Coturnix japonica: one gene and its partner. The protein of the gene in region 2 binds, or shares a complex with, the protein of the main gene of each other region. Links are inferred from orthologs where the notes say so. Each region holds a gene or a part of one and is shown on either strand. Other genes may lie near its edges.

Region 1 (3,822 bases), on a different chromosome or scaffold from region 2:
GTCATCAGGCAAGTGTGATGTGCTTTAAGTTAAAAATGAAACACAAGAGGTAAAATCCTACATTTCTAAAGAATAATATTCTCAAAAAGATACTTGATCTCCCTGGTGACAGGATGAGGGGAAATGGCCTCAAGTTGCACCAGATAAGTTTAGGCTGGATATCAGGGAAAACTTCTTTAATGAAAGGGCTGTTAAGCGCTGAAATAGGCTCCCCAGGGAGGTGGGTTGAGTCACCATCCCTGGATGTGTTTCAGAACCATTTGGATGTGGTGCTCAGAGTCATGACTTAGCAGAGGGCTGTTAGTTAGGGTAGCATGGTTAGGCTGCGGTTGGACTTGATGATCTTTAAGGTCCTTCCCAACCTGAGTGACTCTATGATTCTACGAAAGTCACCTTGGCAAAACCTTCACCATAAAGTCAACTTCTATAATATAGTAAATTCTTTGTGACTTTCTATATGGTATAGCCACAGACATACCACAAGTCTGAGTGATTGCATGAGACAGGAACATGGTTTTTGCAGACTGTCACATCCCTCCTATGCATCAAAGAAAGCTTTCTCTCTTTCCTAGAACAATGGATTTTGGTTTTTAATTAGAGCTACTTCTTACTTTAGCATAACTAGCTCAGACAACTCCATGCTTCAGGTGGCCATTCTGAAGTCAAGATGACCCAGTCATTTCCCTTTATGAAGCTACGGAACTGAATTTCATGATCTTAACAGAACAAACATAAGTTAGTTCTATAAACTATATGCAGAAGACAGCAATTATAAAGTCTCATTTGATTTAACCTTCCTTAAAAGTCCACCCATGTAACCCAGACAGTGTTCTAAGGAGTTTTTAAGGGCATTTTCAAAGGATACTGTACGTGATATCCAAAGAATATTTTCCAGCCTGTAAGGTAGGCTGTAAGTTACTCTTCCTCTCAATGAGACGATACAGCTTACGAAATGTTGGCAGAGCAGCAGTACGCATCCACACGATAAAGTCTTCATTGATAAAGCCATTGTTGTCAGGCTCAGAGTCCAGCATATACACTGGTTTGGGCCAGTTGACTGGTTTTGTTGTACCTAAGATTAAACAAAAACAACAATAAAGCATTTCAAACACAGGACTAAATGAAGCACTGGATCACCAAAATTCATTCTAGTATCATAAAAAACATGCAGTGAATCCTAAGCAGTACGAAGAGCCAGACTGGCTCATTGCTACTGCAAGATTACTGAACTGCTCAGGAACATTAGAGTATGGCATCTGCCTTTGCAAGGGTAACATCACTTTGGTAAGGTCACTTGGCTGTGACTAAGCAAGCAAGACATATCAGGCTAAACCTAGAGCTATTTTCTATCTTACATATACACACAGACCCAAAAGCCCAGAAGGAAAACTGCTTTTAGACTTTGTCAAAGAAACTCCGACTTACCAGGCTGTACTTAACTACATTTAACCTTATAACTGAGAAAAATCAGTTAATCTGATCACAAATAATCAGATTTTAAAAAGCACTGTAAGATCTACCAGTAGAAACATTAAAAAAGAAAATTTCACACAGTTTGGTTAAATAATCACAGGATTTCTTCTGAAGTTAAAACCACGTATTATAGCACTGCACTTAACGAGGATTTTCTCAGTATTCAAGGCATAAAAAGTTATCAAGAGCTATTATATATATACATATATATATATACACACACACACACACATATATATATATCAGAATTTGATTTGATATTTCAAGATCCCAAACGGCAACAAGTAATTGAAATATCACTTAAGCCAAGAATCTTTTCACCATCTTAACAAATTGGATTAGTTGCTAAGGCAAAACTAATCTGATGCCAAGCAACTGACAGAAAGAGCTTTCATGAAAGTTCAGAAAGATTAAACAGGAAATAAGCCCAGGTTCTATTTTTACATGTTAAATGACTACAGTGAATTTAGAAAAAATTATATTAGTTCTGCATTAAATTTGCAGCATCCACTGTTAACAGACAACTCTTCCAGAAAGCAGAGAAGTCCTTAGCTTGGACTTCTTCATAGAACAATATATTTAACATGTTCACTACAATGTCACCATTGAGGTGAAGTCCATGGCAATCAATGTGTTTGAAATCTTTTGTTCTTAAAATTTCACACATTTCTTACCTTGGAAGAGCGCAGTTAAATTCTTTCCATCTCCTGTAGGATTCCTGAACTTCACATTTTTATCTGTCCACCACGCAATGCCTTTTTTAATCAAAGTAATAGCGGTCCTTGTGTCGTTTTCGATGTGGTACAATTCCAATGTATCTATGGGGAAAATCAAATTGGAAGACCAGATAAGAGTGGCTTTTATTAGATGAATGATCCTGATAGGCAGTAAAATAATTATCTACAGGAAAAACAAATTGCCACAATCAAGAACTGTTCTGTAATAATCCACACACATACAGAGCAGTGCGTTATACATGTATAGCATCTTTATTCCACAGCCATAACAGCCACTCACAACAGATGTTTCAATCCCTTGTGTGCTATCAGGTTAAATTCACTGTGGTGGTTATTAATGGTATTTTAATCTCAACATTCCAAACAATTAAGGTGTGTTAATTCAAAACAAAACAATCCACAATAATACCCAGAATAAAGCATCAGTACAAAGCATACACAACACAAAAACACCTCAGTGCTAAACTCAGAAGTGTTACCGTACCATTAAACATACTGTTGGCAATAGCCCCACAGGGAGCAATGGGTTTATCCTCATTGGTGCGGTAAGGCTCACATTCCTTACTTGGATTCTGACAGTTAGAAAGAAAAAAAGGCAGATCAGTCTGTGCTAGTTTATACTTCAGTACTTCACACACGTACACAGCTCACACTTACTACAAAATATTCTCAGGAGTGAGTTTATTTACATATACTTCAGCATTCATTGCTAATCGATATGATTGATTTTTTTCTTTACAAGCAGGAAAATATTCTAGATAAAATATGAATAAAGTCAAAAATCCCATGATGGTCATTGTAAAATTAAGACTGTGCTTAGAAACTGTTAAAAGAGGGGAAAAAATGTTCTAACTGGAATGTTATTTATTTTTAATAAATAAAAGAATTAAGAATTTAATAAATAAAAGAACGTTTATTATTTTTAATAAAAAATATGAATACCTTATTGTTTGTTGAATACAAAAATTCTACAGCTACGTTATTATTAAACTAGTTATTCTGCCCTGTGATAACTTATGCAAGTCAGCTGTTCATTGCCTACTAGTATCTGTAAATATCAAAGCTCGAATACCTACAAGTAATGAGCTGTTGTCTCCGTTGAGTTGGCTGTCATCTCGAGATTTCACATAGCGACGGTGGTTTTGATAGAAGTTAGAAAGTCCGTAATACATGAAGACGTTACTCTACAAGAAGGGTTTTGATTTACACAACAGGTCAATAAAACACACAAACATGCTGGTTAACTGAAACCTGGAAATCCAACCTCTTAAATTGTATTTACTTTATAGTAACACTCACAGTAGTGATGCTCAAAGACTCTCTTTGTACTGAATACACACAATACTATCCCAACAAAAGCTGGCATCCTGAAGTCAAACAATATCAACATGCCATAAACCAGCAGCAGGATATTCATCAGTACTATCCCAATACTTACCTTGTCCAACACCAAGCACATAAGCCTCATTATTTGCCTCAAAGAATGCATCTAGTGCTGCTGCTTCCTGCTGAACTCAGTTTAAGTTGTGCAGGAATAGCTTATCTACATGTCAAGTATATGACGCCCACCTAGGACACAGACAGTAAATCCAGATGTGTAAAAGACACGTGT
Region 2 (3,822 bases):
CTTACCTTTCTACTATTTAAATTCTTAATCTGATCCTACAGTCTTACAGTGCATGATGGAAGCTACTTTATAATCAAATGAAAAAAGCATATATTTATTCTTCAAAAGAAGGCCTTAATGCTCATAATCATAGAATCATGGAATGGTTTGGGTTGGATGGGACATTAAAGATCACCCATGGCAGGGGGTTGGAACACCTTCCACTAGGCCAGGCTGTTCAAAGCCCCATCCAGCCTGGCCTTTAAAACTGTGCAAAACTGGCCTATTTCTGATTCAACATCTGTGATCCCATTAGCATCAGAATTTTCACTGGGTTAACAAAAAGTTGAAAACTGATTTTAAGACTATCAAAGCAATTTCAGTTTACAGTGGCTTTCACATCAGCCTCAAAGCTCCTCAGTTTCACAGCTTAAATCCTTCATAACATAAGGTAGGTCTAAATAAAAAGATTATGGTACCACATTGAACATGAATACAACAGAAAGGAGGTGCTTTTTAATAATAGTAATAAAAATCAAATTCTATCTATTAATCGGGAATTCTATAATGATTTCGTGTTAGTTGCTTCTAACAAATAGCATGTTAGTATTTGTATTAATTCAGAATCACTAGAATTTAGGTATGCGATGCTTTGATATCAGAGTTTAAATGCATTAATAATTTTACCCTCGACAAGCATATCTAGAACATACTTAAAGTCCTTCAGCTTCCTACCTCCACTTCTCCGAATGGTACTTAAAACGCTATTCCTCTGTGGGATTTCTGTTAGCAGTAGGAGCAGCAGCATTGATATTTTTTGGCTTGATCAGGCCATTGGGGCTTTTCTGCAGTCATTGCAGTGTTGAAGTTGAGCTGTGTGGTCTGGCGTTGGTTTGAGTGCCCTGTCTGGGGGTAATGGCAATCTGTAATGAACTGTAAAAATGGGACTGTTTTGGCTTAAGCTCCTGTGTTAAACAGGCAATCCTGAGTCCCTGAATGTACAGACAGAGCCCTCCGGATCTGGTAAAATGTCATTATTTGGAATATAAGTTGCAACGGGCAGTAACAACTTCTGGTTTATTTCATTTAGTGTCGAAGTGATTCGTTTGGGCCAAAGTTATTTTATAAACTGGGATCTGCAAATGTATTACCCACTGAATGACACACCAGCTCAGGCCCGCACCACTACGCTCAACGAGGAGCTGGGGCAGATCCAGTACATCTTCTCCGACAAGACAGGAACTCTCACACAGAACATCATGACATTTAAAAAATGCTGCATAAATGGCCAAAGATACGGTAAGTCTGTGCCATGACGTTGCAACCCCACAGGGAAAACCAGGTTTTGATTTCCATAGCAAGTGCCAAAGTGTTGCAGTACCAAAGGCAGGGTTTGCTGCTGGCAGTAGCACTGGGGACTCCTGTAAGTGTGAGAATGAGTAGGAACTTGAATGCTGGTTTGAAGTCAGGTGCATGGTAGTCTTCTAGTTTCAAATGAACTTCCACAGCATAGCCCTGTAAAGCTCCAACTGTAGTTTTCCCCTTGTTTTCATATTTTCGAAGGGAAAACAGTGGAGTGCAGTCTTCCAGTAGAAAAGTCAGAAATGAGCAATTTACAGACTTATTTCGTTTGTTAGAAATGCTCTGGCACAAAATTAATCCAAGGAACAACTAAGAAAGTGTGGTAAGGGCAGTAGCTGTTCATTTTAATGTTAGTTCCTCCTGTATACAATCTGGTCTGGATTTCAGTGTTTGGAATAACACAGTGATGTTCTCCCTAACAGAACCACTGTTTGTCAATGCAAACAACAGTGTGCTTCTTAAACATCTGACCTCTGGGTTAAAAACAAGGATTTCTGACAATGAAAGCTCTGTTAAAACTACGTGGGTTTTTTTATGAAAATTCCACCAGATGCCTTTTTTCTAATTTTTTTTGTATCACTGGCATAGGCAGGTACACCCACCAGGATAAAAGGTACTGAGGTTGTGAATGAATCCTACTTTTTTTCTTTAATTGGAGATATTCTAGTACAATAGACGTAGCTACTCGATACTTCTGACCTTGTGAATGAGATGTAACAACCTTTTTTTTTTCCTGTCCTGTGTCTTGGAACGGATGGTGCTTTGCATTGCAGGAGACTGCCGCGATGGAGCAGGCCAGCTCCCAAGCCACCCAGAGGTAGGTTGGTGTGAGCCAGCATCACAGCCCCTGCAGTTTGCAGGAGCACTGCCATGCTAAGGTATGGGGAGGGGCAGGTAGGCTCAAAAATTTGCACGTGGGGTAACGCTTATTCTTCTTTTTCTAATAGCAAGTGGATTTCAGCTGGAACATGTATGCAGATGGAAAGTTCTTGTTCTATGATCACTATCTCATAGAGCAAGTAAAGTCTAAAAAAGATCCAGAAATCCAGGAGTTCTTTCTTCTGCTCGCAATTTGCCATACAGTCATGGTGGATGTTTCTGATGGTGAGTATCTTTTTCTCTTGTGCTTCTGGAAACAGTAATTGAAGTCCAGTTGCACAAGAGAACAATCCAAAAGTAGTGTAGATCTCATAAGCAAGGAGAAATAGACTGTTCTTTTAAGTTAAACAGAAGCAAAACCCAGTTATTCTTCAAGACCCAGACCCTGAGCTGGATAAGATCTATCTCTTTGTGGAAGGAAAGCTGTCTTTAGTGATGGTTGCAATTTTGGCAGATGTGCACCTTAAATAACAGCAGATTGAGAAAGGTACTGGAACAGTTTGTATAAACACCTTGTAGTTCCTGTGAACAGTCTTCTTTGTACTCTTTAAATCTCAAAAATAGGAGCCTTAAATAAAATGGAGATGACACTAGCACAATCTATGGTTCCCCATACGCATGTGAAAGTGCAGGCATTTGGAAACTTGTTTTCAGTGTGGAAAGCTGAGTATTTTCCAAATGAAGATTTAATTCATATACTCCTTGAAGTGCAGGCCCGTATGTGTACCCAAATGATGTATATTTGTTCTAAGAATATCAGCAGCAAGTAACAAAAATGAGTAACAGAAAGACTGACAGAAACTAAATATGAATGGAGGTGTGATGAAGAAAATAAGGTTGAACATTTATGAGATGCTCAATATAAGAGGAGAGTAATATTGCTTTACTCCAATCTTAGAGATCTCTCTTTGAAACCATGAGTTTCCCATACATTCCTGGTCTTCCTACTGACCTTTTGAGGGTTGTTTCCATTGTACTGTGTGGTTACCTGTGGACTTATGTTTTGCTTTGGTTTTTGGCACTTCTGTGGAAGTGCTCAAATGACAATACCTGAGAAATTAAGTTATATTTGTTTTGAGATGGAGAAGTTTGTTCTTGCTTTACTACACGGGTGGAAGAGGATCAGTGACTCATCCTGTTTGGGAAGTACCCATTGTAAAAAGAATAGTCGCAGTCCCCCTCCTCTGGTGGCTCTGTCAGCTGCTGCAGCATTGTGTCAGATGCCACTTCAGAAGGGGAAGGAGCACAACACTGAGTGTTTGTCTTTCACTCGCTTTGAAGAATGGGTGTGAGGTTTTCAGCTCTGTGATCCAAGTAATGCTCAGGTGTGCCCTGGCTTTCTTTCCTTCCTACTTGTCAATGATGCAGGTCAGATCAACTACCAGGCAGCCTCCCCAGATGAAGGGGCCTTGGTTACAGCAGCCAGAAACTTTGGCTATGTTTTCCTTTCACGAACACAAAATACCATCACAATAAGTGAAATGGGGACTGAAAGAACTTACGATGTCCTTGCAATCTTGGATTTCAACAGCGACAGAAAGCGAATGTCTGTCATTGGTAAGTTGACTACAGCCAGCCTCTAATTTGCAAGATCTCTTATGG

What was found.
Region 1: the proteins of ATP8B1 (region 2) and TMEM30A are in contact, whole or in part, in a cryo-EM structure (PDB 7VGI), measured with the Homo sapiens proteins. The link is inferred for Coturnix japonica from reciprocal best matches to the Homo sapiens genes ATP8B1 and TMEM30A. Residues at the interface, in NP_001361314.1 of Homo sapiens: Thr138, His359, Trp362, Glu363, Val366, Ser369, Ser370, Trp371, Tyr372, Leu373, Tyr374, Asp375, Gly376, Arg384, Ile388, Phe418, Asn420, Trp421, Asp422, Leu423, Tyr426, Lys430, Asp431, Thr432, Pro433, His939, Trp942, Arg946, Tyr968, Phe971; in NP_060717.1 of Homo sapiens: Lys24, Thr25, Arg26, Arg27, Pro28, Asn30, Phe33, Lys34, Gln35, Gln36, Arg37, Leu38, Pro39, Ala40, Trp41, Gln42, Pro43, Ile44, Leu45, Thr46, Ala47, Val50, Phe54, Ile57, Phe61, Ile64, Ile68, Ile75, Phe119, Tyr121.

The regions. Positions count from the first base shown.
Region 1 is NC_029518.1:73,686,860-73,690,681, reverse strand, and holds part of TMEM30A (cell cycle control protein 50A), read right to left. Parts: intron 3,395-3,822; coding exon 3,287-3,394; intron 2,783-3,286; coding exon 2,695-2,782; intron 2,292-2,694; coding exon 2,148-2,291; intron 1,073-2,147; coding exon 866-1,072; intron 1-865. UniProt on the Homo sapiens protein: Accessory component of a P4-ATPase flippase complex which catalyzes the hydrolysis of ATP coupled to the transport of aminophospholipids from the outer to the inner leaflet of various membranes and ensures the maintenance of asymmetric distribution of phospholipids.
Region 2 is NC_029547.1:290,490-294,311, forward strand, and holds part of ATP8B1 (phospholipid-transporting ATPase IC), read left to right. Parts: intron 1-1,069; coding exon 1,070-1,278; intron 1,279-2,114; coding exon 2,115-2,158; intron 2,159-2,288; coding exon 2,289-2,445; intron 2,446-3,588; coding exon 3,589-3,777; intron 3,778-3,822. UniProt on the Homo sapiens protein: Catalytic component of a P4-ATPase flippase complex which catalyzes the hydrolysis of ATP coupled to the transport of phospholipids, in particular phosphatidylcholines (PC), from the outer to the inner leaflet of the plasma membrane.